Linked DNA regions of Canis lupus familiaris. The protein of the gene in region 3 interacts with the protein of the main gene of each other region in a pairwise test. Links are inferred from orthologs where the notes say so. Each region holds a gene or a part of one and is shown on either strand. Other genes may lie near its edges.

Region 1 (5,917 bases), on a different chromosome or scaffold from region 3:
GGCCCGCTGCACGCCTTCTTCCTGGGCAGAGAAGTCAGCCCTGGCTCCATCAGCTGCTCTTCCCCAGCCCACAATGCTCTATACCCACAACCCTCTCTACTCTCAGTGAGCAGCACCAGCCAGGCTCCAAGATGCCATGCCAATGGGGGTTCCCAGGGGACCCCTCTACCCTTCTATCAGGTGACAGCAAGGGAGATATTCTCTCCCTAGAAGAATGCAGGCATACACCTAAGTGTCATTCTAGAGCAATCTAGGTCTCCTGAAGTCCATTCTTCCAGACTCAGGCTAAGCAGTCTTGTTTTGTGCTTTCATTTCTCACCTCTCACCAACTAGTTAAAATTTAGTAGTTCCCAGGGTTGGCAAGATTGTGCAGAATTAGGCACGAGGACAATATTGGTGGGGAGGTAATCTGGCAAAGTCTATTAAAACTTATATAACGTGCATGCTCTTTGACCCAGATCTTTAACTTCTGAGGTTTATCCTAGGGACAAACTAGATACACTTACCCAAGAATATATATAACAAGAACTTTCACTGTAGCTCTACGTATGAAGTACTGTAAACTTAAAAACAACTCAGCAATTCCTTAACTAGGGCACTGACAAAATACAGAATACGCATACAACAACGCTATTGAAAAGAATGATGGGTCTGCCTTTGGCTCAGGTCATGATCCCAGGGTCCTGGGATCGAGTCCCCCATCGGGCTCCCTACAAGGAGCCTGCTTCTCCCTATGCCTATATCACTACCTCTCTCTGGGTCTCTCTCATGAATAAATAGGTAAAATCTCAGGGGGAAAAAAAAAAGAATGAGACAGCCTCAAAAAAAAAAAAAAAAAAAAAAAAAGGAAAAGTGAGCTATACATGTTAGGTGAGAGGACAGAACAGGATGTGAAACAATACACATGACCTCTCCATTTAAAGAACCCTATAGAAAATTACATATGGATGCAGGAAGTCTGAAGGCTGTACTTAAACTTATGGGTAAGTAGGTGTACTTCCCAGTGGTTTCTCCTGGACACTGGGGCTGAGGAGGGTGAGCAACTGTTACCTTTGAATCTCATACTTTTGTCACCTCTGAATCTCTCATATCAAGTTTATATTACAGTAAAAATGTTGTCAAAGACAAACTAAAAATGAACAAAACAAGCTGGAAAACACTATATATTCACTGACCCAAATTTGTAACAAATATATAAAGGATACATATATAAAAACCACCCAGAGGTCACAGCAGTGACTGGGCTTTACCAGACGGACCCTGCCTGAGGAGAAGCAGGACAAAGAAAAAAGACCCAGCATTTCAGACTGCTTAAGTCTGGGAGAGGAGCTGTCCACCAGCGCTGGAACCTGACTTACCTGCAGACTGCCAGTGAACTGAACAATATCAAAGACCTGCCTCCTGGGCTCCCTCACCATACCTGACACAGGGACAGGTCAAGTGGTTACAGGCAGCTATCCCTAAGGCAGGGCGTTACTGGGGAAATCAATTTCTCTGCCAAAATCCCATGCTACCTTTTTTTTTTTTTAAAGATTTTATTTATTTATTTATTTATTTATTTATTTATTTATTCATTCATTCATTCATTCATTCATTCATTCATTCATTTATTTATTTATGATAGGCAGAGAAAGAAAGAGAGAGAGGCAAAGACACAGGCAGAGGGAGAAGCAGGCTCCATGCACTAGGAGCCCAACGTGGGATTTGATCCCGGGTCTCCAGGATCACGCCCTGGGCCAAAGGCAGGCGCTAAACTGCTGCACCACCCAGGGATCCCTCCGTGCTACTTTTTAAGGGGAAAGCCCACCAAGGAAAAGTGGAAGTCAAGGGAACCAGAGTCGTAGGGGCCAGCCCACCTTGAGGGAGCGGTTGTGGCGTTGGAGCTCCCGGCACAGGCTTTCTAGCTTACTGCGGGCCAGGACAGCCTTGCTGTGCTCCCCACGCAGGTGGTCCTTCTCCTGCACCAGCTGGCTCTGTTTCTTCTGCAGCAGCTTCATCTGCTTCTGGGAGTTCCGATGCTCCTCCAGCTGTGGAGCAGGAAGGCAAGTAAGTGCCTAGTCGGGCTTTTCCCAAGGGACCCCGGCCCTCTCCCGACTCCAGTTGTTAACAGTTCTGGCTGGACACTGTGTGGGTGCTTAATGTACTTCTCCGATAAACCCAAGGGCTCCATCTCCAGTATACAGAAACAGGCACTTACGACAAGCAGGGATTCAGAGGCTGCAGACCCCAGCCTCTCCCCACTCTAACTCTAGAGATGAAGTTCTCAAGACTCTCAGACCATTACATTCCTTCAACCTTTGTGACACTCATGTCCTCAGATGACACCCCTTACCACTCCTCCTTGTATTCAATAGACCCCCGTCACTCCCTCTTCACTGCTCTGAAACTTAGCGCCACTTCACTCAACATGACTGCTGTTATCATTTTGGCCTTTTCATTATGGACAGATCTTAACCTTCTCAGACCCTGTCTTTTCCCCACATCAGCTACCCTCCCATGAGCCTAGTCAACGCTGATACAGTGCAACTCTATGTAATGACAACTGTTCAAGTCATTGAACATTATTTTTTCTTCCCCTTTCCTTAGGTGTTTGAAACCTAAGTTGTATCTTACACTTAGAGCACATCCAAATCTAGACTAGCCACATTTCAGTTGGCTAATGGTTACTGTCCTGGACATCAGATCCAGATTTTGTCATTACCCAGAAGCACACACCCCTCCATTATCTCATCCCAGGGCAGGACCACTATCCCCTACCATTCTAGCTCATTCCATCCAAAATTTGTGGCCCCAGAAAGTCTACCATACTGGACCTCCAACCCAGTGACCCAACTATCCTTTCACTTTCCTTGAATGTGTCTTTAAATAATCACTGACCTTCTTATACTTGTCTTAAGACTTCTTACACTCAACTCTCTTGCCCCCTTTTCCTATCAAAACCCCAACCCTGATATCCCAACCTCTGATTCCTCTGCACAGGCACTGAAGCAGAAGAACCTCTTTTAATTCCTAACTACCCATTTGAGGAAGACCCTCGTCTGCCATGCGGCCTAACCATATTCCTTATGTTAGTCACACTCCTCTTCCAGAGAACTATTTCATCCTCCTCCTTCTCAGCTCTCCTTTGGCCCAGCAAAAAATATCTTTCTCATTTCCCTGAGAATGGAAGCAACCAGAGGCACAGGGGCATAAGTTCCACCTCTGCCCATCCACCTGCACCGGCCTTTTCCTCTGGTTACCAGGATCCAGTGGTGCTTCCCAACACAGCCAGCCTTCTCCTTATGCTCTGGCCCTTAGCTCCTTCTCTACTTGAGAACATCACTCAGCTCCTGCTCTCTTCATCAATCTTTCCCTGGATGGCTCATTCTGAAGGGGTGGTATCTTTTTCATATCCTATCCTTTATTTAATCATTATAGCAACCCCACAAGGCAGGTGTGATTTTTCCCAATTTTACAAATGAGAAAAACTTCTTAGAGAATTCTAGCTAATAAATGAAAATGGAGTGAAAGAACTTAAAAACAAGTAGTTAGGAAATGACCCACAGTGGATTAATCCATTTATACAAATTCTGATGGCAACCTGACAAGGGAGGAACCTGGCTGGCCCCACCTGAACTCAGTGGACAATCTTCCATCAGTAAAAGTGGGAGGAACACACTTTCTCTACAGAGTACCACTTATGTAGAGTTCTTATCAAAATAGTTGAACTTGGATTGGATCAAGCTTCTAGAGTTAATTTCCCCTATATCTACAGGAACTAAGGAGGTAAAGGAAGAAGTTAAATGTCACCACAAAAGCGAAGAAGTGAGGCACAGGGCGATTGATCTGCAGTAAATCAATGTCATGAGAAAAAGGTTGGCAGTAAATGAAGACTATTTTGGAATAAAAGGAAAAAAAGTTGTAAGGACCTAAAGTATTAGATGGATCTCCTGTAGACCCTGATTTGATCAAACTGACATTTTAAACAAATGGGGAAATATGCGTATTAGAGTATCACATCAGTGTTAGTTTAAATGTGAGGATGGCACTGTGCATTTTTTGGGGAGATGCACACTGAGGCACACAGGTGTGAGATGACATGGTATGTGGGACTGGGGCCAGGAGCTATGGTTTTACCACTGTAATATGAAGGGTTTCTTCTTACAGTCAACATGGAAGGGGCCAGCTGGGACTTGACTCTCCACTTAACAGATGGAGAAAAGGCTGAGAGAGGCTGAATAGGAATTAAGCCACCCACCTGCCCCGGCACCCTCAACCCCATGCCAGGTGGCCTGCTGACTTTCCAAGGCAGGGCGGATGCAAGAAGAAGGGGGAGAACTGACCAGTTCAGCATACTTCTTGCACAGAGCTGCCAGCTTCTCCTCTGGGGTGCTCAGGGTGTTCAATGTCTGCATCAGCAACGTGATCTCCTTCCCTGCAAAGCACAGGGATCAAAATCATGTACCCCCTTCTCTGGGGATTTCCCCAGGCCTCGGCCCACACTCTCAGGCCTTGAGGCAGCCCTACATTATCATATTTGATACTGTTTGTTGACCTGGCTGTCATCCCATTAGACCGTGTGGTTCATGAGGGTTACCACCAACTGAACTCAGCCTATTACTGTGGCCCCAGTGCTGCTCCATATTGTCTTTGGTGCCCATCTCAGACGACATGCTCAACAAATGCTTAATAGACTAATAACTGAGTCTATGTGGAGACTCCATGGTGAACACTGAGAGTGGGAGAAAAAACCTGCCTGCTCTAATAGCAGGAGGAAAAAAAAAGACATCCCAATGGCCAATTTAAGTGCTACTGTGTCAATGCAAGGAAAGCCCTTTCGAAAGAGGAAGGAGGCAAAAAGGAATAGGTTTCCTCGGTAACTACTAAACATTTGTCAACAGTGGTAGCCAAAGAGTGAACTTTATTTGTTCCCTCCTAAACAGTGAACTTTTAAACAAATATATCTTCCGATATGTGATCCCAAGATTAATAAACAACAGGGATGCCTGGGTGGCTTAGCAGCTCAGCAGCTGAGCGTCTGCCTTTGGCTCAGGGAGTGATCCTGGAGTCCCCTGGATCGAGTCCCGCATCGGGCTCCCTGCATGGTGCCTGCTTCTCCCTCTGCCTGTGTCTCTGCCTCTCTCTCTGTGTTTCTCATGAGTAAATAAATAAAATCTTAAAAAACAAAACAAAATAAAACCAAAAACAAACAAAAAAAACCCTTTCCATTAGGATGACAAACAGAGGGTGGGGAATTAAGGACTAAGACACAGGTATAATATCACTTAACTCTGATTCTTTAACATACACACTAGTCCCCTGCCCCCAATAACTTTCTCTCACTGTGCTTCAGTCAAAGGGGCTTCCTTCTGTCTCCCTGGAGGGCTCCTGTACATAGCACAGCACCAGGCTCCTGAAGTGTCAAACCCAAGAGGCTCGAAAGATCAGTGTGGAGACTGCAAAGCACTAGCACGTAGGCCAAAACCCACACGAGTTTTGTTTGGCTCCCAGCATATTAGTTGTCAATTGTTTTTTTTTTTTTTTTCTTCAGTTGCCAATTGTTAAAAATCCAGAGAGATTTCACTTAACTGCATAATAACAAAGGGGAAAAAAGGAGAAAAAAGAATGAGGGGGGGAAAAAAAAAAAAAGGCTGGCTACACTTAGCCTGTAGTATTATATGCTATCAGCATGGTGGGACCAGATGGCAATCACCCCTTTGGATGAAGTAGGCAATGTCTTGTCCTCCTAGGGTCCCCTGTCTAACTTGGCTTATTTGTGTTTTCAACCCTGGGCTAGTCCAAATCTTACTGTAGAGAAACGAAAACTAAGGAACAGAAAGGAGAAAGGTCTTGCCCAAGTTTACAGAGCAGGTTAGAGATAGTGTTGGCTGACACAGGATCCCATCTACACCCCTCTGTTCTACGGTCCACACCCCTT
Region 2 (6,359 bases), on a different chromosome or scaffold from region 3:
AGGCGTTCAGTGTCCAGACACTGTTCCATGCCCGAGCGATTCTTTACACCATGTTAGAAAGCTTGTCGTGTTTAGCTCTGCAGATCCCGGCTTGCTGTGTGATCAGTAGCACGTGACTTAACCTCTCTGAGCCTCCATTACTTCACGCATACATCTCAAATAAAACAGTTACTGTGGCTTGAGATTGTTGAGCACTGAGGTGAGATATATAACACATGGCACCAGTGCCTGGTACAACATCCACGTTCAATAAATCATAGTTATTGTTACTAACATGTATTCTATGACCAAACGCACAAATATACGTAAATTTGTCTTTAGAAAGTCATTTAGTGATAACTGCAAGAGGAAAGAATCAAAGTTTTAGCAAAACCCTCTGTCTAGCTTTGGATTCCCACATTAAATAGGAAATACAAATATTGCCCCATGGACAAACATGCTTGAGTGTGAGTGGGGATTAACAGCTACCCCAAACCTGTTTTCCTAATAGCCTCTCAGTGAAGGTCCCACATTTCTGACTTTAACACCTCAGCCAGGGTGTGGCTGAAAAGTCTCTGTCATCTCCTGTGAGATTTTCCCGGAGATAACCTAATAAAGCAAATTGCTCCATCCACACAGGCTCAGGGCAGATGTGCCATGAGGAGCTTAGCAAAGAGGCACAAGGCAGGTCCCCGGCTCTCTCTCCGTGCTCCTTCCCCAGAGAGCCTGCCAGTGACCCAGCTGCAGCAGCTCAGAGGGCTAAGTAAGGTGCACCGGCCTGGCTCGGCCCCTCACCTTTCTGAAGGCCCCAGTGCTTACCTGTACGGTCAGGTAGAGCCTGTGGGGGCTCCCAGGGCCGGCCCAGTCCACACTGAGGGCTCGACACTGAGCTAGGGCTGGGCGAGCTGCACTTCGGGCTCCGGAGTCCTCGTCACTGCTGATCGGGGTGTCTTTTCCACGCCCTGTTCCAGGACAGAGAATGCAGGTAAGATGCTAGGCCCCTGGCTGAAGGCTGGTGGCCAGGACCACTGACTAGGGCCGTGGCAAAGCTCCGCTTCCCCACATGCTGGGCCAGCCCGGGCGCGGCCAGGAGGGACTCACACGCCCTCACATGCCTGACCTACTCGGAGGGAAGGCCTGGCACCAGGCAGGAGCTGTGCTCCCTTCTTCCCAAAAGCCACCCCGAGCTTCCCTTTGGGAAGGCACCGGAAGCTTCTGGGGTACATGTGTTCCCCACCCTCCACAGTGGCTTTTGGGCTGACACTTGCTCATGAACTCCCTCTCCAGAGAGTAGCAAAGGGAAGCCGATGCCAACCTGGCTGCACTAAACTTCACAGGAGGAGCACCCCAGGGCTGTGGCTTTATTACCAAGGCCGCCTCTAGGTGGCAATTTCTCCCCTGACTTCATAAAGACCAACGCCATGCTGGGTGGCCTGGTCCCAGCAGCCTCCAAAAGCATATTCAGCACCAGCTAAAGTGCATCCCCTCGAGCCTCTGACCCACTGCCTCCCTCACTGGACAGGGGAGAGAGGTGATCATGGTATGGACATCCCATGCACCCACTTCAACCCCCACCACAGCCTGCAGGGTAGCATGGGATGGGAATGAGTACAGCCTCATGGGGGTGTGACAGTATCCTGAGTGCCAGCAGCCGGCCAAGTGCTTACTGCCCTGCCTGTTCCTCAGTTTCCTTTATCAATAACATGGGGATAAGGAACCAAGCTCATAGTACTGTGCTGAGGGTTACATGGAATGACACACCTAAAATGCTCACTCTCCACCAGGCACACAGAAACTGGCCATAAGTGCAGGCCATTAGGACCACGACCGGGGAGGGTTAAAACCGTGCCCAGGGTCACACTGAGCCAGTCCTGCAATCCCATGGGCTAACTCACCCTCTGCCTATACCTCCCAAGACAGAGGCAAGAGTCGGGGTGGGGGCTGAGGGGCTAGGAGTGACAAGCTGGCTGAAGCCCTACTCACTGTTAGGCACTCTGCTTAGCATTTCACACGATTTCATTTGACCTTTGTCTTAAATTTTAAAAGCAGATAAGCCTGTATGGTCATATAATCTTCATGATACTCATTTAATAGACCAATATGCATGCCCACATATACAAGATCGGAAGGAACTACATAAGATGTTCACTAACAAGCTTATAGGTGATTTTTATTTTCTTTTTTATACTTTTCTGGGTTTTATTTTTTTATTTTTTCTAGTTTTCCAAGGGAACATATTTTGTCTTCTGCTTGTTTTTTTTTTCTTTGTCTTGTTTTTTTTGTTTAACCAGAAAAGTAATACTCATTCATATTACATATGTAATCCTTAGGACAACCATGTGGAGTAGAGACCGTCTTCATCCCCCTCCAGATGACTCAGGCTACCTGACCCAAAAGCCTATGCTTTTCCCAGAGGCCCCCAGTGCCATCCCCAGCCTCACTGTCCCCTGCAGAGACACTTTGGAGGGTATCACTCTGGTGCCCACCAGTGGCACAAATGTGGTGGGAGAGGAGACGGAACAGGAGTCTGCTGTGTACCCTTTCTAGGCCTCAGTTTCCCCTTCTGTGTACCAGGGGGGCTTGGATCTGATAGCCAGAGGAACTCTGCTAGCTCAGACAGGCTGGTAATCTAAACCTCTTTCTCTAGGTCAGGAACAACAGACAGCAAGCGTCTGATGACATCTGGACTGAAGACCCTCTCTCCCTCCACACTTCCAGATAGATTTGCCCAAGCTCACCTCAGGAGGCAGTCGTGGGGCAACTGCCCAGACCCAACGACAACCCAGCCCACAGGCAAATCAGAGGTGCCGCTCACTTATTGGCCTGTGAGGCACCAGGGGACGCGACCCAGAAAGGAGAGCTGGTGTTGACAGCATCCCAGGTGGGCTCCTTCACTGCCCCCACCTGCTGTGGGCCACCCTGCGGGAGCCGCCCCACATAGCACCTGAAACCCGGCTCAGGGCACCCACACTCTGCCGGCGCCGCGGCTCCTCCTCGCGCCCCCAGCGGTCTGACCCGCCGCGATCAGGTGTCCGCGCCGCACGGGGCACCGGGGCAGCCACTTCACCTACCTTGTTTACCAGCTGCGGGCACAAACCGGAGCGAGACTGCGAGCTGGGCGGGGGACCAAGGACGCGCCCCCGCCCGCCCCCCGCTCGGCGGCCGCGCCGGGGTCTAACTCGGCGCCCGGGACGTCTCTCCACCAGCAGGAGCGCGGGGCAGGAGCGCGGGGCAAGAGCGCGGGGCAGGACGCCAGGCAGGAGCGCGGGGCAGGAGCGCGGGGCAAGAGCGCGGGGCAGGACGCCGGGCAGGAGCGCGGGGCAGGAGCGCGGGGCAAGAGCGCGGGGCAGGACGCCGGGCAGGAGCGCGGGGCGGGACGCCGGGCAGGTCGCGGGGCAGGACTCGGGGCAGAAGCGCGGGGCAGGAGCGCGGGGCAGGACGCCGGGCAGGTCGCGGGGCAGGACGCCGGGCAGGTCGCGGGGCAGGACGCCGGGCAGGAGCGCGGGGCAGGACGCCGGGCAGGAGCGCGGGGCAGGAGCGCGGGGCAGGAGCACCGGGCAGGACGCGGGGCAGGAGCGCGGGGCAGGTCGCGGGGCAGGAGCACCGGGCAGGACGCGGGGCAGGTCGCGGGGCAGGAGCACCGGGCAGGACGCCGGGCAGGACGCCGGGCAGGACGCCGGGCAGGAGCGCCGGGCAGGAGCGCCGGCGAGATTGGCGCCCCGACTCCCACTCGGCCGGCCCGCGGGCTGCCGGCACCCTGTAATTACCTGACAGCCCTGACCGAGCCTAGGAACTTGCGAGAGAGCCCGGCCCCATCGCTGCTATCTGGAGGAAGGAAGGGAAATAAAGAGGCATTTTAAAAATGCGGACTCACCAGTTCTCAACCTCCCCGGGCCGGTGTATGGGAAAGGGCGGGCGGCCGGGCCGGCGGGGGCGGGGCGAGCCATCCCCGGCTCGGGCGCGCGGGCCCGGCCCACTCTCCACAGGCCGCGCAGCGAGGGCGTGGCTCCCAGGTTCCACGGCCGGCGAGACGGGACCATGGCCCGGGGCTCAGCGGCCTCCTCGGGGCGCCGGGCGGCCTGCGGACAGAACGGGGAGGCGAGGCTGAGCCGGCGACCGACGACACCTGGGTGGCAGCTCGGAGGGAGCCCGCCGCCTGCAACAGGGTCACTATACCCGCAGCGGCAGCCCCCCGCCCCCCCCCGCAGCGATCCTTGGCCTTGCGCGATCCAACACAGCCCCTCACCATTTCAGGGGGCTTTTTCCCAAGTAGGGAAGCTCAGAAGTGGGTGAAGAGACCACCCGGTGTGTCAGCTGCACCCTGCGGAGACCTCCCATCTCAGCCCCTCGGCTGGAAGCCTGGCAGCCTGAAGATGCGCCAGGTCACAGCCCCACACACAGGACGCACAGGTCGACAGCAACTCTAATCAGACGGGGCCTGACTGTGGCCAGTGACACAGTGGCTTATATAGATCAAATTCTCTTAAAGTCCACTCATTCTATTCAACTAGCCTTCACTCTGTGCCTACAACTTGGCAGGCAGTAAGATACAAAGATTCATTGCTTCTTCATTTAATAATTATTTATCCAGTGTCTATTTTGTGCCAGGCACCTGCCAGGGGTCCTCTTTGATCAGGAGAGATAGGGCCTCAAAGCTCCCTGTCAGGAGGGAGGTAAGCACTTCAACAAACCTTCACAATCAGAACAGGATGCAGGGAGGCACCAGGTGGTATGGGAGAATGAAGTTGGGGGTGGGGAGCACCGGCCTGGATAGAACACCCCTGCCTCGTGTGGTGGGTTAAGCCTCTGACTCTTGGTTGTGTCATGATCTCAGGGTCATGAGACCAAACCCCGCATGGGGCCCTATGCTCAGCACAGAGCCTGCTTGAGATTCTCTTTCCCTCTCCCTCTGCCCCTCTTGCTTGTGCTCTCTAAAATAATGAAACAAATATTTAAAAAAAGAAAGAAAGAAAGCAAGCTGCGTAGGTTTCTCATGAACTGAGCAGATGAAGAGAACAGACTTTAAGTATTCCTTACACACATCTTTATTGAACACCTATCATGTGTAAAGCAGCTGTGAGGGCATTTAAGTACCAAGCTACAGTCCCAGACTCAGACAGTGATGCTATTAACAGAAGCAGCCAAGTCAGCTCAGAGAGGCAATGTGGAATTTGCTTTTGGCTTTAAAATGGACTTTGAGGCACCCAAGAACTTCCTAATGGTGCTACCTGGGTTGCAGATTGCTTTCCACCAGACAGTAGAGATTACCTATTCGAACAGTGTCCAATCCCCCCGACTCTCTATGGCTCTCCATGGCAGGTGCGTGTGCGTGCACATTCATCTGTGCAGCCCTATACCAACCAGCCTGGAGCTGGAACAACACCCACACCAAACCCCTGGCAATGCCTTGATAGGTGAATGCCCTGAAATAAGCGTTCCCTGAACGCTTGGAAAAGAACTGAAGCTTGGAAAAGAACAGGTCTGGAGACTCAGAGCGGGGAGGGTCCCAATGCCACAGACAAGGATATAATCACCAAAAGTAACCAAGGATAGAGCTCACTCTGGGTGGTAAGGAACGTTGGGAGGACAGTCATAGGTGGCAACAACACTAGGCAGGTGCAGAGTCCTCTGCACCTCTGACTGGATGGCAAGTAGGAAGGAGAGGATGGTCAGTTCCCAGTGAACAATGCCGTGGAGAGGTCAAACTAGAAGAAAGTCCTGGAGGCTCTGAAAGGGAGCGAGCACATTAATGGAGCCGGGCAGAGGAGAGAGCTGAGTAGGCCCAAGAGGTGGGTAGGGTGAAAGGAAGCCAATGCTTCCTTCTCTGTGGGGAAGTTTGGCCAGGATAAGGAGGGGAGGCTGAATTGAGAGGATGTGGTGTGTAGAATAGGAGAGATCTGAGCTTGCTGGGTCGACAGGGCCAGGAATGATTGAAGCATGGAGAGGCAAAAGAAGTCAGAGTGCAGGGATGGGTAGCAGAAGATCTGGTGACCAAAGTTCACGGAGCTGAGCCCTGGATGGATGCCAGGCTTACTGGCTAGGGAGTCGTGCTCTCTGCCTTCCCTGACTGAGGAAGACAGCTCAGAGGACACTTCTGGGTACAGTGCTACTGGACTGTGGGCCAAAGGACGAGGAGAAAGCTAATCCAAATACGAGGGCCAGCTCCACTGAGGAACGAAGATGGACCAGTGTGGAACAGAGGGAGGCTGGGGGAACAGCCAGATGCCCTTTTCTCCAGGTTGCTTGACACAGAGCTGGACACATGCCAACCCCAAAGACCAGCTGGCCTAACGGGGCAAAGAGGGAGAGAACCAGGTTCCACCTGCATACCAAGCTCCTGGAAAAGTGAGATGGGCATTAAAGGTGGATTCCACATTTGA
Region 3 (6,384 bases):
CTGTTATTTTTTAGGGACAGAACTGCTAGTCCTTAAAAAGTATAAGAAAAGTTAGTGCTGACCAGGCAGGTCTTGGTTATGACCTATTGAATAATCTGTGTGCCTGGGAAGTAAAGTCAAAACCTGTATTTCATTTTGTAGTAAGTACTTACTTAATTTTACATGTATTTATCAATAAAGTATCTGAGACTGGCATTCCTCTATTAGCATTTTTCTCTATAAGCTTTTCCTAAAAACAAACAACATACTAAAAACAACTTTAATCTCCCCCAAAGTCCCAGCTTTTACTACTTGTAGCGTATCTAATTCCCCGTCTCCACCTGAAGGGATTAATCGTTGAAGAAAACAAGTTTTATGATACTTCTCTATTATCAGTCAATTGAATTTCTCTGCCCTCAAAACATATCATAAAATAAAACTAAGATAATAATAGGGCAGAGAGGAGGGAGAAGAGATCTATGAGATGTCTCCTGTTACTAAAAAGGTTAATCTTTCCCAGCTGTTTTCTTTTAAAAAAACTTTTTTTTTTTTTTTTTAAATTACAGTAGAAAACACATAAAATGACATTTGCCCTCTTAACTTTAAAAAGTTTTTGGATCATTCCTGGGTGGCTTAGTGGCTGAGTGTCTGCCTTCAGCTCAGGCTGTGATCCCGGGGTCCTGGGATCGAGTCCCACATCGGGCTCCCCACAGAGGACCTACTTCTCCCTCTGCCTGTGTCTCTCATGAGTAAATAAATAATACAAATTAATTAATTTAAAAAAGGTTTTGGATCAGAAAAAAAAATCTGCTCACCGTAGAAAATTACAAAGCACAGAAAGGAATAAAGAAAATAAAAACATGTAAATTTAACCTCCACAAAATAACTTCTGTTAACAGTTGTATGCTCTTTAATTTCTATTACTTCTCAAGTTGCATTAGGGGAACCAGGTCTATATAATAAAAGGTAGTTTATGACAGCATTAACTTTTTTTATTTCAAATATTGTTTTAACCTCCATTTAACAAGTTTATTAGTTGGTTAATTCAAAAGACAAAAACGAATAAATGTGTAACTAGAAGAAAAAACAATACTGCTAAACCTTTAGACTTTTTTCTTCTCAAGCAGTGTTACCCTATGTAAGTGATTCGAAGTATCAATTTAAAAATTGTAATCTATAATTTAACAGAATCCAATCTTCCTGTTCTCACACAAAGTAAATGTAAATAGGGAAATTGCACAAATAATGGGGATTTCTTGTTTGTAATATAAAAAGAAACCACTTACCTGGTTTTCCTCATCAGGCGGCAACAACTTTTGGTTTCTTGAAATTGCCAGCATTTCTATAAGTTCTCTAAAAAAGAAAAACAAAAACATCTTTGCAAAATACAACAGAAGCTTTATTAACTGATCTCTACCTAACTGACTTGCTAGATTCATGGCACCCACAGCATGCTGAGTATTCAGAGCCCCTGCCCAGTGACCGTGCGCTTGGGCTCTCATCAGCTAAGCGGTACTCTCTCACCAAGACTCAGTTATGTCTGTTACCAGATCCAGTTATGCAAGTTTTACTTTACTAGTATAGTTAAATATATTAAATATCCATTTCATAAATACCAACGAAATATGACTGTCAACAGAAAAGAGTAATTTCCATAAAAACCTAAACTGAATACTTGGGAAAGACTCAACAGCTGCCTGCAAAGAACTGCAAAGTCATGAAAATTCAGCAAGTCTACCCTAAGACTGCTTGATAAGCATTTAAGTTTATTTACTTTTTTTTTTTTTAAAGTAATCTCTATGCCCAAGGTGGGGCTCAAATTCACAACCCATAGATCAAGTCGCATACTCTACTGCCTGAGCCAGTCAGGCACCCCTCATTTCACTTTAACGAAACACACTAGAAATTGGTGGACAAGGCATTATGGGTGGTTTATGCAAGAAAACCCCCTAAATTAAGGAGTAGATGAATCATTTTTTAAATGATTTTCTATGTGAACTGAAATTTTTAATTAACCAAACAGGTATCAACTAAGGGATTCTAATGTATAATAAAGTCCTATCTTTCTGGAATGCTTATTTACTAGACATGCCAATTTTCCTTTATGAAAACTAGTATAAAGAGGAGTATAAAATATGTATCAGGTAATATCCTGATACACTAGTTTCAAACTTGCTGACAGATGGGACTCCAGAAATTATGCAAGAGGTACAGATGCACAATTAGCAACAGGACACCACCAGTCAGCCCCAGTAAAGCCTGTACCTTCTCACTGGCCGCCAGACTATTTTCACCTTCATATTTCCATCTTCCTTACTGCCAGCCTCAAACTATTTTTCTGGATGGTGCCAACTGGACCCAACCTTCCCCACTTTGAGGTTCTCATACCATTATGCATGCACTAGCTAGCTAATTAATGAATAAAGTGGATATGGCAATGGAAAGTCTTCATTCACCCACTGATTAAACATTTAAGTTTCCACTGTGTGCCAGGCACTTTCTGGATGCCTAGCTTATGAAAGTGAACAAAGGAATTTAAATTATAATACAGAAGAGAAAAACCAAGAAAGCAGGTAAATCAAACCAGAGTTAGAAGAAGGGCTGGGAAGAAACTGAAGCAGTGTTAGAGTGTGTCAGTGAGTTGTCTGGCCACTCACACTGGTGGAGTCAGGGAGGGCTTCTATAAGTGAGAAAAGCCGGGTTCAGGGGCCCAAAGATGGGTTTGAGGAAGGGTGGCCAGGACACAGCAGTCAGTACCGAGGAGCAGGATACACAATGAGGACGGGTCTGGAGGGCAGGCGGGCCAGGCTGTGTGAGGGCCTCACAGGTCATGGTAAAGAATCAGCATTTCATTCCAGGTACAATGGAAAGCGACTGGATCATTTTAACTTTTTTAAAAAGATTTTTTTATTTTGAGAGAGAAAAAAAAAATGAAGGAGGGGGAGGCAGAGGAAGGAGCGGATTCAGGGCTCAATCCAGGACCCTGCACCCACCTGAGCCCAAGGTGGACGCCCCACTGACTGAGCAACCCAGGCGCCCCACTGATGCATCATTTTAAATGGAAATGACATGACCTGATTTATGTTTTTAAGCAATTGCTAAGCTACCTGGAAAATGGATTTTAAGAGGAGTAGAATGGAAATCAAGTTAAGTGGCTTCTGTAGACAAAGGATGGCATCTGCTTTGACTAGGTCCTAGCCGCTGGGACACAGTCATGGAAATAGGTGACAGCTATCTCTGAGTGCCGGGGTCCGGGGTGTCCCTGCAGGTCACCGAGCGCCCCCCAGGTCCCCCCTCCCCCATCACCGAGTGTCAGGTCCCGGAGTGTCCCTGCAGGTACCGAGCGCCCCCCCAGATCCCCAGTCCCCCCATCTCCGAGTGTCAGGTCCCGGGTGTCCCTGCAGGTACCGAGCGCCCTCCCAGGTCCCCCCTCCCCCCATCTCCCAGTGCCGGGGTCCCGGGGTGTCCCTGCAGGTCACTGAGCGCTCCCCCAGGTCCCCCCTCCCCCATCACCGAGTGTCAGGTCCCGGAGTGTCCCTGCAGGTACCGAGCGCCCCCCCACGTCCCCCCTCCCCCATCTCCCAGTGTCAGGTCCCGGGTGTCCCTGCAGGTCACCGAGCGCCCCCCCAGGTCCCCCCTCCCCCCATCTCCCAGTGTCAGGGTCCCGGGGTCACCGCCGCTATCAAGCGTCCCCCGGGGGCTGTGCGGGGGGAAGAGGCCGCGTCCGGGTCTCGTGGGGCTGCGACCTCGAGGCCACGACCCCGCCGCGGTCTCCGGAGCGCCGCCTCCCCGACTCCAGCCAGGCCGCCCGCCCGACGCCCCTACCTCGACAAGACCTCCAGGTCCTCCAGCGCAGACAGCAGCCGCTCCCGCGTGCTGTTCCCGCCCGCCGCGCCCGCGCCGCCCCCCGGCCGCTCCTTCTCCTTCTCCCCACCCGAGGCCGCCGCCATGCTGCTCGCGGGCCGGAAGCCGGAGACTGCGCAGACCCCGGCGCGCGGAGGCGGGCTCCGGAAGCGGAAGTGAGGGCCACCGAGGCGGGGCGGGGGGGGCGCGGAGCAGAGGCGGGGCCGCAGCGCCCCCTACGTGCCTGGCGGTGCACTGCGGGCGGCGGCGCTGTGCAGCCCTGGGAGCAGGCTCGGGGCGCTCAGGGCTCAAGCACCAATGGGAGGGGTTTTAAGCCTGTCGGGAAATTTGCATAACAACTTACATCTTGTATCAGTTTCTTTTTTCTTTTTTTAGGATTTTATTTACAGAGGGAGAAGCAGGCTGCCTGCAGGGAGCCCGATGTGGGACTCGAACCCGTGACCCGGGGTCACGACCTGGGCCGGAGGCAGGTGCTCCACCGCTGAGCTCCCCAGATGCCCCCTTCTATCAGTTTCTTTGTGAGATGGGCTGGTCTCAGTATTAACCGTCTTTAGTGTGCATCCCTACAGTGCTAGCCCCACCCTCCTGTTTGGCCTCTCCTAGGGGTTGTAAGCACCATAGGACAAGAGCCATCATCTGCCTCTTTTTCTTTATGGTTGTAAAACACACATAACCTAAAACGGACCGTGTTAACCATGGCTAAGTGTAGGGTCAGGGGCCTTAAGCATAGTCATGTGGTTATGCTACTTTCACCATCATCCATTACCTCTTTCCATCTTGCAGAACTGGGACTGTGTCCACTGAACAACAAGTCCCCCTTCCTTCCTGCCCCAGCCCCTGACAGCCACCGTTCTACCCTCTGTCTCCAAATTTTGACTACTCTAGGGACCTCATATAAATGAAATCATACAATATTCGTCTTTTGGGGACTGTGTCATTTGACTTAGTGTAATGTCTCCACTCCCATCCCTGTGTTAGCACGTGTCAGAATTTCCCTCCTTTTTAAGGCCGGACAATATTCCCTAACGTATAGCCATCGCATTGTGCTTATCCATTCATTCATCCGCACACATTGGGGTTGCTTCTACGGCTTCACAATCCATCTTTATAACCATCTATCTCCCAACAAAGTGTTTTGCTCACTGATCAAGATGCCTGTTGGAAGTGAATGAGTAAATATAGCAGGTAAGAGGTAGTGTATGAAAATGGTTTAAATAATCAATACAACACAGATTCCAAATGAAAGCCCAAACTCCGCCTCAACTCACTTTTCCTGGAGAGAGCAATGTAGTTGGAAACTCTCCCTATCAGGAAAACCCAAAGTTGCAACAGTACTGGGGATGCGGGTTCTGTATGGGGCCAAGCTGTGATTTTCAAAGATGAGATGGAGAGATGTCACCTACAGACAACAGCTTGGAGTGTCTCCTTCATTCTGTCATCCTGACCTCTGGCCTGTTCTCTTGGAGGTGCTTAGCCTGCTTCCTGCTGGGTACCCAGACTTGAGGATTTCCTCAGGGACTCATGCGAAAACAAAACAAAACCATTCATAGCAACTGCTATACAATCCAGAATGCTGATTTATTCATTTACAATAAAAAATATTAGTGCCAAGCACAATTTTCCTTGTGGACAAACTTATACAGGAAGACCAATTATCATCAGAATGTGGCTTGGTAAACCTGGATTATAACAAATGAATATAGATTTTTAAAAAAAAAATGCAACCATCAGGATTTTTTTTTTTTTTTTTTTTAACCATCAGGATTTGTATCCACATAGCATACGGATGTTTGTAGTAAAGAGATTGGAATATCTGTGTCCCCAGACCATGCAAGAGACCTGAGGACACCTTTTGTTTTCCAACCATTCCCTACTTCTGCTCTTGGCTAAACCCTTCTCTAAATATGGTCCATTCTCAGACAATGGAATACATTAGATTTAAGCTTCCTAATGACCCTTGTATTCCAAGCATACCTGCCAGCAGCTCTGGTCAGTGATTTCTTAAGTTTCTGAGGGGCTCAACTGTAGTCTGTGTTGGTTTTCTTCTCATAGGTTCATCTTGGGCATGATTCTGGTGCAGGGAGTGGGGAGATCCTATTAGTGTAGCTTCCACATACAATCAGTTAAAACCCTAATCACTTAAAAATGACCAATTATAGGTCCTACTTTGCAGGCATGGAGGGTTAGTAGATGGACAGTATATGTGTCTTGTGAATGCCAGACCTCTTCAGATTCATCACAAAGTCATATGCGTATTGAACGTTGTCCATAGACTGACAAGAAATAACATTTCCTACAGGCATACTCTATGGCAAACTGCAGATTCTGGTGTGATAAAGAAAATACGAATTATTTTATAACTGATAGGAATATCATATATATTTTTAATAGTTAATAAATAACTCAAGGTAACTCCGAATTTAGTAGTTTCCCAATCTATCGATTCAAAAGGGTAAGTACTTCCTTCTTGTGAAATTTTACGTATTTAACATGCCAGACACTGGTCTAAGCACTTAAAAAAAATGAACTCCATGAATTTTC
Region 4 (5,579 bases), on a different chromosome or scaffold from region 3:
TCTATACCATATTTATTTATTTAAAGATTATATTTATTTATTTGAGAGAGCATGATGGGGATGCAACGGGGGGGGGGGGGGGTGGGCAGAGAGGGAGAGGGAGAAGCAGACTTCCTGCTGAGCAGGAAGCCCTGTGGGGCTCAATCCCATGACCCTGAGACCATGACCTGAGCTGAAGGCAGACACTTAACCAGCCACCCAGGTGCCCCTATCCATACTACATTTAAAGAAAAATAGGGTTTTACGGATATCCTGGTTTTGACAATAGCTAGGTGATCTTGGGCAGATTCCTTAACTTCTCTCGCCTTACTTCCTTCATCTGTAAAACAGTAAAGGTCATGGTAGGGAATAAGTGAGTTAATGTGTCTGGTGACCTAATTACTACTCTGTGTCAGCTGTTAACATCAGTATTATCACTCACCTATTACATTAACTCATAATGTTTGCAGAAAGGCCATCAGCATGAAGTTTTTAAAAATTTGATTTTAAAAAATCAGCTAATAGGACTCCCTCCTTCCAGATAGTCCTCATTGCCTTCCTTTTGTGTGGGCTTAAGGGTTGCTCTCTCTCCCCTTCATGCATGTTTGATTGTTAGCCTGTAGGCACAACTGTGTGATCCAAATGTGCCCAGCTGGATCAAAATTTATCCTTACAACCCCTCTCTCTAGTTGGTCCTGTTCATAGCTAGAGAGGAGCAAGCAGTACCCACCAACTGGCTGGGGAATCCATTTTGTATACTTCTGCGGAAGGAGATCTGTTATAGAACAGAAAAGCACCAAGTCAGTAGCTCCCGCAGACCACACTCTCATGTAGGGAAAGCAGAACTGGTCAGGCCAGGCTGCTGAACTAAACTTCATAAGCAACATAGCAGACCATGAAGCTGTGCTATTGCTGCAACATAGAAGAGTCACCCATCAGCTCTGGGAGACGAAAATGGTAATTTCAGTTGGCATCTGGGGGGTCGAGGATTTTATATCAAACAAGGAGACATTCTGACTGTGCTCCTTGTCTTGGACAAGCACACAGGGACCCCGAGAAACCGACACCTCCTTTAGGCTGGAGTGGGTTAAAGCAGATCACAACCTCTGGAATTTTTAAGTTAGGACATTTCCTGGTGAGCCCTTATTGTAATATCAATCTTTTGGAGGCAGGCAAATTCAAGTACACTAAATCATAGACACAGTGACAATGCAAATATTTAGGGCTGGTAGTTAAGTCTGCTATTTCCTGATAGCTGGCTGGCAGGGGTTTTGTTTCTTTTTATAAAAGAAGATGTTTACTTTATCATTCACAAACATAAAATTACATAGAAACAACACACAAAGTACTTAGAATGCAAATATTCTTTGGTTTACTCATCAAAATTGTAAATAACAAAATAGCAAAAACCTTATCAGTTAAATAAAAAAAAGTGACATTCTTTATTCACCTATCAAACCTTATTAAACATTGAAATGCATTTATTTTCATTCTCATGTTCCACAGCAATATGCTTTTTTTCCCTTTTGGCCCATACCCCCCCCCCCCCAAATTATTTTGATGAGCTCATCTCTAAAATAAAGACAGTTGTACTTTTCTTAACATCACTGGCTTTTATAAGAATCACCTAGATTTTTCTTTGTGTCTCTTACATCCCAAACGGATACTAAAAATGGAGATCTCCCCACCAGCATATTTTCAAGAATGATCACGTTTTGGAAGTATCACTGTTGGTACTAAAAAACAGGACTCCACTCCAGAAGCATATTCATATCTTAGACATTATTTACAATGTCAGATACAGTTGGTTCCTACAATACTGATTTCAGAGAAGCAGTTTCCCGTTTTTTGACGGTTCACTTTGCCTCAATTCTTAAATGTCTTAATTCTCAATGAAGACTTAATTCTTAAATGTCTATGATAAGATCTTTAGCAAAAGAACATTTAACAAAAAGGTAGACTTGAAATTGTCTCAAAAGGAGCAACGATAGCAAAAGAAAATTCTCAGCTTTTTTTAACACAGGCACACATACATAGTAAGGAGCAAGAGTGAATCAAAGTACAAAACTCTGCACACGAGAGAAATACCCAATGTACTGACACATCAAATGACCTAAAAAACATATCTTGAGGTTTGGTGTCATCCATATCTTTCTTTGTCTAACTCCAAATTTGCATCACAACCATATACCTTTCCCGCGATCTGCTAACTGTAAGGGAGGGAGCGTTTGATCAGAATTTTTGGCAATATGCTTTTCTTCAAACAAAACAAGCTGCATAAAACGTTACAGACAATGCCTAACAACTGAACTGGGCAGAAGTCTTTCTGAAACGTGGGTAATCTTGAAAAAAATTCATTTTTTTCCTTCATAAATCAGCAGTGCTCTGTTTTCAAAGAAATCCCGAGCGCTCATAGTCTGAATTCACAGGATCATATGTTCTCCTCATCCAACATTTTGTTGACACCATCACAGAGTTTTTGTAAATGGGGTTTAAAATTTCCGAAGGGGTTATATAAGGCCGCTAAAAAATCACAATCTGAAAAATGATCAAAGACGTTATTAACTCGTCCATGTGACTTGGCAGTGAGGTGGCGCTGGATGATTTGGTGGAGCATCTCTCTGCACTCATTCAGCAGCCGGGATAACACGTTCCGGTCAAAGGTGTACTCCACCTGGTGGAAGCTGACCACGGTCATGGCAAGCTGGTGAACTTTCTTCTTAAATTTCTCCATCAGCGCCAGCTCATCTTGGTTGAACTGGTTATTCCTGTAGAGAATGGCCAGCTTGATGACTGTCTTGATGAGGTTCTTGATGATCTTCTCTGCCTCCTTCTTGTTCTGGGTGTACTCCTTGGTCACTCGGTAGAGTTCATCCAGCACTTCGCTGCTTGTGTCGTCGATGAGGGTAGTGGCGATGGATTTGGACACCATTTTCCCCAAGATCTTCTTTTGTGCCTGCACGGCCAGGTTTTTGGAATTGAAGACATCTGTGGCCACTAAAAAGAAGCAAATGAGAAAACAGATATTAAGGATTTTTTTTAAAGATGTTATTTATTTATTTATTTATTTATTTATTTATTTATTTATTTATTCATGAGAGACACAGAGAGAGAGGCAGAGACACTGCAGAGGAAGAAGCATGTTCCTCGAGGGGAGCCCGATGCGGGACTCGATCCCAGGACCTCAGGATCATGACTTGAGCTGAAGGCAGCCACCGAGATGCCCCTAAGGAGTATCTTCCTTCTCATTTTCCCACTCTGTGGTTGCCTCCCATCTACTCACATTAGTTTCTGTTCAGAAAAGTACTAAAAATTTTAACCATATTTCTGGGCATTAGGTTCTCCTTTCTGAAAAGGACAAGTCATTGTGCATAATCTTTAAGGCCTCTGGCAACTCAAATGTTGAATACCTTCTGCTATATACTCAACACTTTGTTCAGCAGTTGAAGGTGAAAACCTTCCAAAAAGATAACTTTTTCTGATTAAAAAAAACGGAACGTCTCACGAGGCAGGAAGTACTTACGCAATTTCCCCCCAGTTCAACTTTGTAAGACATACATCAAAAATACAAAATCAACTCCACAGCTGTCCTCTGGACAGCAGGCACCGAGAACAATGTAAAGAAACCCCTTTAAATATAAGAAGGATAAATAGCAAAGCCACATGGAGTCTAGTACCAAATTCATGGAAGCCAATCAAGAGGAGAACCTTGCTTTAAACTTCAGCGGCAAAAAGTCAAATTCTCTGAGATACTGGCCCGCCTCTTCCAGGTAGGTCATCTTAACCGTCCAGAATTTCAACTCCCAGAAGTTGAGTCTTAGAAAAGAATATTCCTTGGAGAGCTCATTGTCACTTGCTATTTCTGAGGAACGGCCACCGTTCGTTCCCTTGAGACATTTATACGTTATGTGGAAATAACCACTTCCATGACCTAATGAAATGTGCTACATGAATAACACACATTTAAGCTGATGCTTAAAGTTTGCTTTTGAAATTGCCATCCCTTAGTGTGACAGAGGTGTAACATACAGGTAATAACCATTGCACGTACTAAATATGAATGAAACGCTGTGTGATGCTCAGTGAAAATGCTCAATAAATGTTTACTCCCCTAGCCAAGTTTAGTTTTTCCCCTGAATTTCCCCCTACTGTTCATGCTACTCCACCAAACTGTGCTTTCTCCCTCCCCGTCTAGGTCCTGTGAGCTAGAGTTGTGCCCCCACCCTGGATCCAGGACCAGTTGTCATCTCTTGTATACTAGTCTATAAGGCCAGGCCTGGGTGTTGGAAAGCAGTCATTTAGTAATGAAAGATAGAAAGACTAAAAATACAGATAGGTAGGAATGAGGCAGGGCATTAGTGGTATACAGTTATTTCTACTTTGGACGGGCTGGCGGCAGAAAGCAAAAAAGGCAGCTGCTCCCAAATCCAGGCTGGGGGAGGGTATCTAAGAAGAGTGACCCCCTCTGCGTGGAACTGCCACGTTAGATCTGATGCGCTTGGGCCAAAGTAGCTCATGCTATATATTCCAGGTAGTACCAAGTGGTTCCTACTGACCAGAACGCCGCTCACAAATACACAGGGTCACAGCCCTAAAAGAACGCCCTCACTGAACCAGAAGCAGTGTCCTCACAAATGTCGACATTTAAGTGTCTGAAACACGAACTGAAACTGCAGAAGAAGAACTGAAATATATTTTGAGAAAGAAGAGGAAAGTGAAAAAGCATGAGAAACGGACAACTTGTTAAGGTTTCCAAACTTTTTTCATATTTTCATCAGTTACACCCACCTCTCTTCCTAAAGGTTTGCAAAAGAGTGTATGGGTTAATCGATATTAAATAGTTTGTATCAAAATAAATGGCACATGCGTAGTCAATATTATCACATTAGGTCCAGGGACCTATCTTCCATTGCAGAACTTATGATATGGACTTCAACAAATAAACCTGATTTACGTAGGAAGGGATCCTACCCACCCCCCAATTTCAGATTCACAGTAAATAACATGATTTCAGAAACTCACACAAAGTTGAAGAGTTATTCTGTGTTGAGTCTTTAGGAATGTGACAGTCTCCCAACATCCATCTAGGATTTACTACAATGTCTACTCGATGGAAACATTGTACACTATGAAATCACTGGGAAAAATCCTTCTTGCTTCTCTCTCTAAGACTGGACTTGAAAGTTTGCACCTCCTGTAAGCTACTTTGCTTATTAAACCTCAATGCCCCATTCGATTTCCAACATAAAGACAATGCCACAAAAAAATTGTTTAGTGTAGTAGTGCTTGAACCCCCCATAAGAGAAATTGTGAAAAGCAAGGCCATGGCCAAAAAAAATCGCTCCCATTTACCACTAACAAGTCTCACTCAGGACAGAGAAGCTGACTTCTGAGGCTTTCCCAGTTACCCCAGAGGAACTTCCAAGCCCAACTCTAGAAACATAGCAGCCACTTCTTCTTCTTTTTGTTTTCTTCTTTGGGTTACAACCAGCTCAGCCATCTTTTTTTTTTTTTTTTTAAGATTTTATATATTTTTTTCATGAGAGATACAGAAAGAGAGGCAGAGACACAGGCTCCTTCCCTGCAAGGAGCCTGATGCA
Region 5 (6,437 bases), on a different chromosome or scaffold from region 3:
TCCCGGTGCATGGAGCCTGCTTCTCCCTCTGCCTATGTCTCTGCCTCTCTCTCTCTCTCTGTGTGACTATCATAAATAAATAAAAAATTTTTAAAAAGTCTTATTTATTTTCAGAAAGTCATACTAGCTCCCTTCTACAAGTGGCTGTAGGCTGGAGCTAAACATGGTCAGCATTATTACAAGCCAAAATTATTTAGACAATTTACTCCATCCCATATAACAAAAAGATTTCAAAGGCCAAATAATGGCCTCACTTAGTTCAAGCTATAATCATTACAACAAAATTCTAATGTCTTCCTTTATGCAATAAAGATGTTTCTGAGAAGACCCAGTCATAGTGAATTTTTATATTATCAAGTCATAGCTCAAAGGCACTAACTAGGAAAGCTAGTTCTTTCAATGAAACTTGCAGTGGGTTCTCTTATAAAGCAGATGACCTCTTATTTTCCTTTTCCTTTTTTTTTTTTAGTTCAGATTTTGTGTGCTGTGTGTGGAAAGGGCAACTTCCCTCCTTTCTCTGGGTTAAAAGGGGTCAGAAGCCCACCGTGGAGGAGAGCAGTGCAGGATGTACAGCCTGTTTCATACCCTCCTAGTTCCTGGGACCAAGTTCTAACCTTTGACTTGGGGGTGGGACCCTAGATTTTGGACCGAAGTCCACAAAAGGCAGCAAGGAACGAAAAAGTAAGAAAGACTAAAGACAACTCATCATAGAAAACCACCAACAAAAATTCCTGGGGACAGGAAATCAATAGAGCACAATTCTGAACAAATTGGTTTAGTCCCAAGCTAATTAACCTGTCAAGCAGATCTCCAAACCCACTGAATCCATGGAGGAAAGAGGTGATGTAATAGGAGATTTGGGAACATTTACCCACTTACCATCCTAAAAGGCTGGGCCACGACCACACACACCTCTCTCCACCCCTTTCAGTGGGTTTTAGCTGCACTTAATGGGTGCAAAGGACAATTTCTTCCAGATAGTCCCTAAGAATAGACTGTTCTCATGCATTCCAAATGCTCAGTCTCCATGGAGGAGGCTACCTGGCCACAAGCATTTCCCAAGAAGGAATATATCCTCTACCTCTCCTCACTGGTAACATTCCCTCCACCCCAACAAAACAAAACAACTTCTAACCAGCCCAAGAACTTCGGGGGACTCTTTGGGGGAAAAAAGGAAAAGAAACCTTAAGAGGGGACTAGGAGAGTGTGAGAAACTCCTCTTGTCTCCAAATGGAAAAAAGGCCTTAAAAAGCTGGATCAAAGGAAGAAAGGGGGATGGGGGAGACAGGCTGCTTAATTACAAAGACACCCTTTTAAAGAAGGCACAGGCCCTGGGAGAGAGCTCTTAGGAGAGGCACAGAAGCAGATGTACCCACTTAGAATTCTGGCACTCAATGGGACCTCAAGGTCATAGCATCCATCCCTCTGCGCTCTGAATAGACTGTTCTTAAGGGCATTCTAGAAACAGTGTAATTCACTCTTTATAAAGCCTCAGAAAAAGCAACTCCACAAAGTGCCTTGGGTTTGCATCTGTCTAATAATTCCTATCTCACAAACCAGAAATGACCTTCCAATCTCCAAATCCAAAATAGCATTGAACGCGAATTTTAAAATTTCCTTCTAGAATCTGTTACGTAGGTAAACAGATCCACCACTTTCACCCTAAAAGTGACTCTACAACAAGCATGGTCAGAGATTTACTGCCTATCTAGACTATGAAGTTAGGAAAAGCACTTTCAATTTTACAGAGCCACAGAGTTTTCCAAAGAAAGAAGGATCTTAAAATGAAGTATGATGTAGTGCCAGAAAGTGTCTGTAAATGACACCGGATAAACCCATACAGAATAACTGGAACCTGAGTTATCATCTGTAAATAGACGCAACTACTCTACAACCACCTGGCTATTAAAATGTCCCAGGCCAGTTATAAAATGTAGTTTGGTCAGGCCAACTTTTCCCTCCCAGCTGATCTGAAAGACGATAGCCTTTAAAATTGTCGCCCTGTAACATTCTTTCTCTCCCTTCCTGCTTTGCTTTCCCCCCCGTTAAAATCAACCAACACAACTATTTAAAAATAAAGTGAATGATTTGTTCCCAAACAAGCAATGGGTTGGTGACATCTTGGTAACAGGTCTCTAAATACCACCACCCTTCTAAGTTTGCCACGCTTGCCTGACTGGAGAGAGGTGGGGGGAGATGGGTGAAAATTTATCCTGCATCCAAAATGCTATTTCAAAGTATTGTTAGCTCCTAAATGAAGGTGCTGAAAGGTCTAACCAAGAAAGCTTCACAAAGGCTGGCCCACGAAAGGACTTTTCACAAAACCTAGTTCAAGGAGACTTAAATAACCTTAGCCCTCCATTATTGGAGACTATGGTGACTAATTATCTTCCTCTCTGAATGGAAAAAGGTTATATTCAAAAAAGTTTTTTTTTAATTTTTTTATTTATTTATGATAGTCACACACACAGAGAGAGAAAGAGGGGCAGAGACACAGGCAGAGGGAGAAGCAGGCTCCATGCACCGGGAGCCCAACATGGGACTCGATCCTGGGTCTCCAGGATCGCGCCCTGGGCCAAAGGCAGGCGCTAAACCACTGCGCCACCCAGGGATCCCAAAAAAAGTTTTAAACGCCTCCCAACTTCTACTCTTAACGTAAGGGTGGCAAACGGAAGGAGGAAGGAGAGCTACATTAGACATAACTACGATTCTTTCTAAAACACATGCTAGAGATTGCTAATGCTGTTTCTCACAAACGCCCCCTTTCCTCTCTCATTTAATTGTATCTAGTCCCTTGCTGCAGATGATTATTAAACTACTATTAGTGGCAATTTACCAGACTACAAAGACTGTCACTTTCCCTCTCATTTTTCTTTGTTTTCATATATTGATCGATCCATCCTGCTGCTAACGCACCAATGTACAGTGACCTGGGCTTGGGACCCTCAAGACACCTGCATGATCCTGCAGAAGTCCTTACTAACATCTCTAAAGCAGATACTGGGCAATCCAGTCCTCACCACCATACACGTACACACACACACACACACAGACTAAAAGGAGTGTAGCATGGTAGATTACTCCCAGACTTTAGGACTTCAAGAATTCACAGCCCCCGGCGGAGGGCAGTGTGGGCCCCCACCCCAACTCTAAGCATTTAGGGAGGAACGCATCTTGCAATCTGAGATAAGCGCACACATTCCTCCTTAGTAAATGTAGACCTGAAGTTCCCTCATTCCTTTTTGTGCTTAATCACCTAGGGACCTACAAGGGTCCCAGGAGCAAGGAAGTAAAAGTACCATCAAGTAGTGGTACCCACTAGCATCTCCGTAGGACGGGAGAGGAGCGCACACTCTTTAACCGATTTAAGTTGCTGCTCATCCTGGAAAACTCAACGGCCAGCTGCAAAGAAAGTAGAACACACGGGCATCACCACACACATCTAGATCAACTCACTCACGCCGAGGGCACGATCAAGTTCATGCCACCATGGATTCCTGCCCCAGTTCCCCGCGTAAAGTAACCATGCTTCTCCTACCCCTGAAGGCACCGAAGACAAGGTGACGACTCTCTGCTCGCTCAAGTGGCTTCGGTCCCGGGCCGGAGGCCAGGGATGGGCAGGGGGAAGCCCCAACTCCGGCTGCTCCGCTCCTCACTGCTCCGTCCGGGCTCTCCTTGGTGGCAGTGGACAGGCAGGATACCGGGCCAGAGGGTGGAGCAGCAGATGGTCGGACGCAAGACAGGCTGGAGGTGGGGGCTGGAGGGGGCGGTGAGAACTAAGAGAGGATAAGGCAGAACAGAGAGGAGATGGAGGAATAATAAATCAGGGGGTCTACCAGCTTGGGCAGCCAGAAAGCTCCTCGGAAGGAAGGGGCGTGACTGCGATGAAGGCAGCTCCTGGGCAAAGGATGGGAGGTAGGGGAGGAGGACGAATGGGTGGCTTTTCTTCTTGCGGTGCGCGGCTAGGACCGCCCAGGAGCGGGGGGGAGGAGTGGGAGGGGGTGGACTGGAGAGTGGGGCGGAGTAGAGGGCGGGGAATGAAGGAAGGGAGCCGTCCAGGACCCTGGAGGGGCGGGGGGCGGAAGAGAGGCGGGGCCAGGGGGCGGGGAAGTTTCAAACAATTGAACGGCGGGGTCGAGCCACTCCAGCGAATGCGAAGGGTCCTAGTTCTCGTCCACCCGCTAACGTGGCTCAACGCGCTGACTGGGTCCTGAGAGGCTACGGAAGCGCTGGCTGGGGGGAAAGAAAGGGTTCTGCAAAGACTCCAACAATAATCTACGACACCAGCGGAGGGGAGGTGCGTGGGAGAGCCCGTGCAGCCCCCCGCCCCACAGCGGGAGGAAGAAACACAAATAGAAATGCTGAAAAGCAGCTTCTCGCAAAGCTTGCTCAAAATAATGCAGGAAGGAGCAGCGCTCCTCTGTTTTCCTTCCCTTCTTGCTTCCTATGACCAGCAGGCCCCCACCCAGGTCGCAGCTTTGCGCGACACCCTTCTTTCTTCCTCTGCTGCCGGTAGCCTCCCCGTTCCCACCCCACCCCCGCATGCCCGCCCCCCTTCCCTTTGGCGGGCCGCGTTGGCAGCGGGGACGGTGTGGGCGGGGCTCCGCGGAGTCTCCGCCTCCGGGGCGGTCTGGGAGGGCCGGCCTGGGAGGGGCGGGCGGTGAAGAGTTAAGTCTCACCCGGCGTTCTTTCGCTGCTCCGGATTGGCGAATCCCCGTCCAGGATTCGGTCGGGATTGGTCACTTGCGTCGTCGGTCCGATCTTTTTGTCCCACCCTCTCTCAAAATTAATAAAACTGAACAAGAGACTATTGTCTCGCTCTCCATCTCCCCCCCACCCCCCCGGCTACTGCTGAGCAGAGAAAGAAGAGACGCTAGGTTTCTCGGTCTCCCGAGAGAGTGCGACAGTGTGTCGTCGGCTGGCTCCCGTACACCTTTGTGGCAAGGTCTGGCCCGCTATTCCCAAATAGGTAGCTTTTCTTTCCCCTTAATTCATGAGGCCCGGAGGGGCAAGAAGTACGTCAAGTATCACTGTGGTGTTCACGTTTCCCGGCTGCGAAAAACTGATCCTGCCTGAGAGCACAGACAGTTAAGAACAGCATCCTGGGACACTGAAAATCTACCATTTTTACATCTGGGAAACAAAAGCCCAAAGGAACACTGTAGGGGTAGCAGAATGACACGGAACTTGGAAGGGAGGAACTCACTTTGGACTGTAGCACTTAACAGCCAGTTGTGCAACTTTTTTGAGTCGCTTGACTTTCCCGAGCCTTAATCTTTCTATCTGTAAATAAAAGCTGTAGGACATACCCTATTAACAACATTGGCATATGAAAATAAAATGAAATGTGTGTGAAAACTGCAAACCACAGAGCACTCCACACATGTATGTCTTCCTCCTTGTATATGTCCCATGGTGAACAGTCTTGAATGTGTCCAGGAAAATCAAATGTTCTGCTCATCTGTTTTAAGCATCTACATCCAAGGTGTGTAGGCTTTGTGACTTTATTTTTAAAAGTGAATTCTTTTCCTACACTTTTGAGGGTGGATATGAAGTCAGATCCCCACAATTAAAATAATAAATTATCCCTTTCCTAACCAGGGTGGGTGAGATTTCTCTTTTAAACAGTTCTGCAGTGGCGCCAGGACCTAAATCTATTGTCGTGCTGGTACTGAAAGAGGAAATCATGCTGTGTATCTCCGAAGTGAGCTTGTGAAAACAAACATGAGGGAACACTTACCATGAAAATCACCATTCTCTGCAGATCCATATTTCCTAGAAAACGTTACAAGATGAAAATGAGTCTAGTTGTAAAGGTCTTGACAATGCAGAGCTATTATGATGAACTCATGCCTGTGAAAAAAAACGACTTCCAATTCAAGCCTGCCCAAAGGGAGCCTCCTGAGAGGCCATGGATCACAGCACATAAGAGGAAATGTGCACAAAGGAAACACTACCTGACTGTGAACGGGGTCCTAGAATATAACGGGGTCCAGGAAGAGTAATAGGCTCCTGGCATGCGGTGGGGTAGCCTGGATGTGCAGGGTGCTCAAAGATTCAGAAGCAGGAACATGGGCAAGATGGATTCTTGGTATAATTCAGGAGATGGGTGAGGTGAAGTTATTTGGGTGATTTTTAATGGGGAAAGTAAGATTTTGAGTGTTAAAGACATGGAGGCACCTGGCTTGTGAGGCAAGGGAAGATTATTCCAGCCTTATTTGGAAGAGTGGATGGCAGAGACAGGGCGGGGGTATATGCTGCAGACTCCTACTGATCATAGTGGCAGCAGGGGGATACTTGTTAAAATAAACAATGCTGGAAAAATGGAAAAAGTTCTATATGCACATGATAAAATCAATCCTGTACCTTAAGGGGTAAAGAGTTCTTCTCGACCACTCTGTTCTTATAGTCCCTTTCTCCCCTTCTCTCTGCCGGTG

The links.
Region 1: the proteins of MED4 (region 3) and TXLNA interact in binary tests that used the Homo sapiens proteins (3 or more experiments, as listed by UniProt). The two-hybrid records come from large-scale screens. The link is inferred for Canis lupus familiaris from reciprocal best matches to the Homo sapiens genes MED4 and TXLNA.
Region 2: the proteins of MED4 (region 3) and KIFC3 interact in binary tests that used the Homo sapiens proteins (3 or more experiments, as listed by UniProt). The two-hybrid records come from large-scale screens. The link is inferred for Canis lupus familiaris from reciprocal best matches to the Homo sapiens genes MED4 and KIFC3.
Region 4: the proteins of MED4 (region 3) and TNFAIP8 interact in binary tests that used the Homo sapiens proteins (3 or more experiments, as listed by UniProt). The two-hybrid records come from large-scale screens. The link is inferred for Canis lupus familiaris from reciprocal best matches to the Homo sapiens genes MED4 and TNFAIP8.
Region 5: the proteins of MED4 (region 3) and AMOT interact in binary tests that used the Homo sapiens proteins (3 or more experiments, as listed by UniProt). The two-hybrid records come from large-scale screens. The link is inferred for Canis lupus familiaris from reciprocal best matches to the Homo sapiens genes MED4 and AMOT.

The regions. Positions count from the first base shown.
Region 1 is NC_049223.1:68,412,856-68,418,772, forward strand, and holds part of TXLNA (alpha-taxilin), read right to left. Parts: intron 4,415-5,917; coding exon 4,323-4,414; intron 2,028-4,322; coding exon 1,857-2,027; intron 22-1,856; coding exon 1-21. UniProt on the Homo sapiens protein: May be involved in intracellular vesicle traffic and potentially in calcium-dependent exocytosis in neuroendocrine cells.
Region 2 is NC_049223.1:57,968,595-57,974,953, reverse strand, and holds the start of KIFC3 (kinesin-like protein KIFC3), read right to left. Parts: upstream 4,035-6,359; 5' UTR 4,020-4,034; coding exon 3,854-4,019; intron 3,805-3,853; exon of another isoform or gene 3,747-3,804; intron 3,170-3,746; exon of another isoform or gene 3,051-3,169; intron 942-3,050; coding exon 799-941; intron 1-798. UniProt on the Homo sapiens protein: Minus-end microtubule-dependent motor protein. Involved in apically targeted transport. Required for zonula adherens maintenance.
Region 3 is NC_049243.1:3,360,856-3,367,239, reverse strand, and holds the start of MED4 (mediator of RNA polymerase II transcription subunit 4), read right to left. Parts: upstream 3,958-6,384; 5' UTR 3,930-3,957; coding exon 3,805-3,929; intron 1,333-3,804; coding exon 1,266-1,332; intron 1-1,265. UniProt on the Homo sapiens protein: Component of the Mediator complex, a coactivator involved in the regulated transcription of nearly all RNA polymerase II-dependent genes.
Region 4 is NC_049232.1:8,952,956-8,958,534, reverse strand, and holds the end of TNFAIP8 (tumor necrosis factor alpha-induced protein 8), read right to left. Parts: intron 2,977-5,579; coding exon 2,411-2,976; 3' UTR 1,329-2,410; downstream 1-1,328. UniProt on the Homo sapiens protein: Acts as a negative mediator of apoptosis and may play a role in tumor progression.
Region 5 is NC_049260.1:86,470,160-86,476,596, forward strand, and holds the start of AMOT (angiomotin), read right to left. Parts: upstream 3,958-6,437; 5' UTR 3,539-3,957; intron 1-3,538.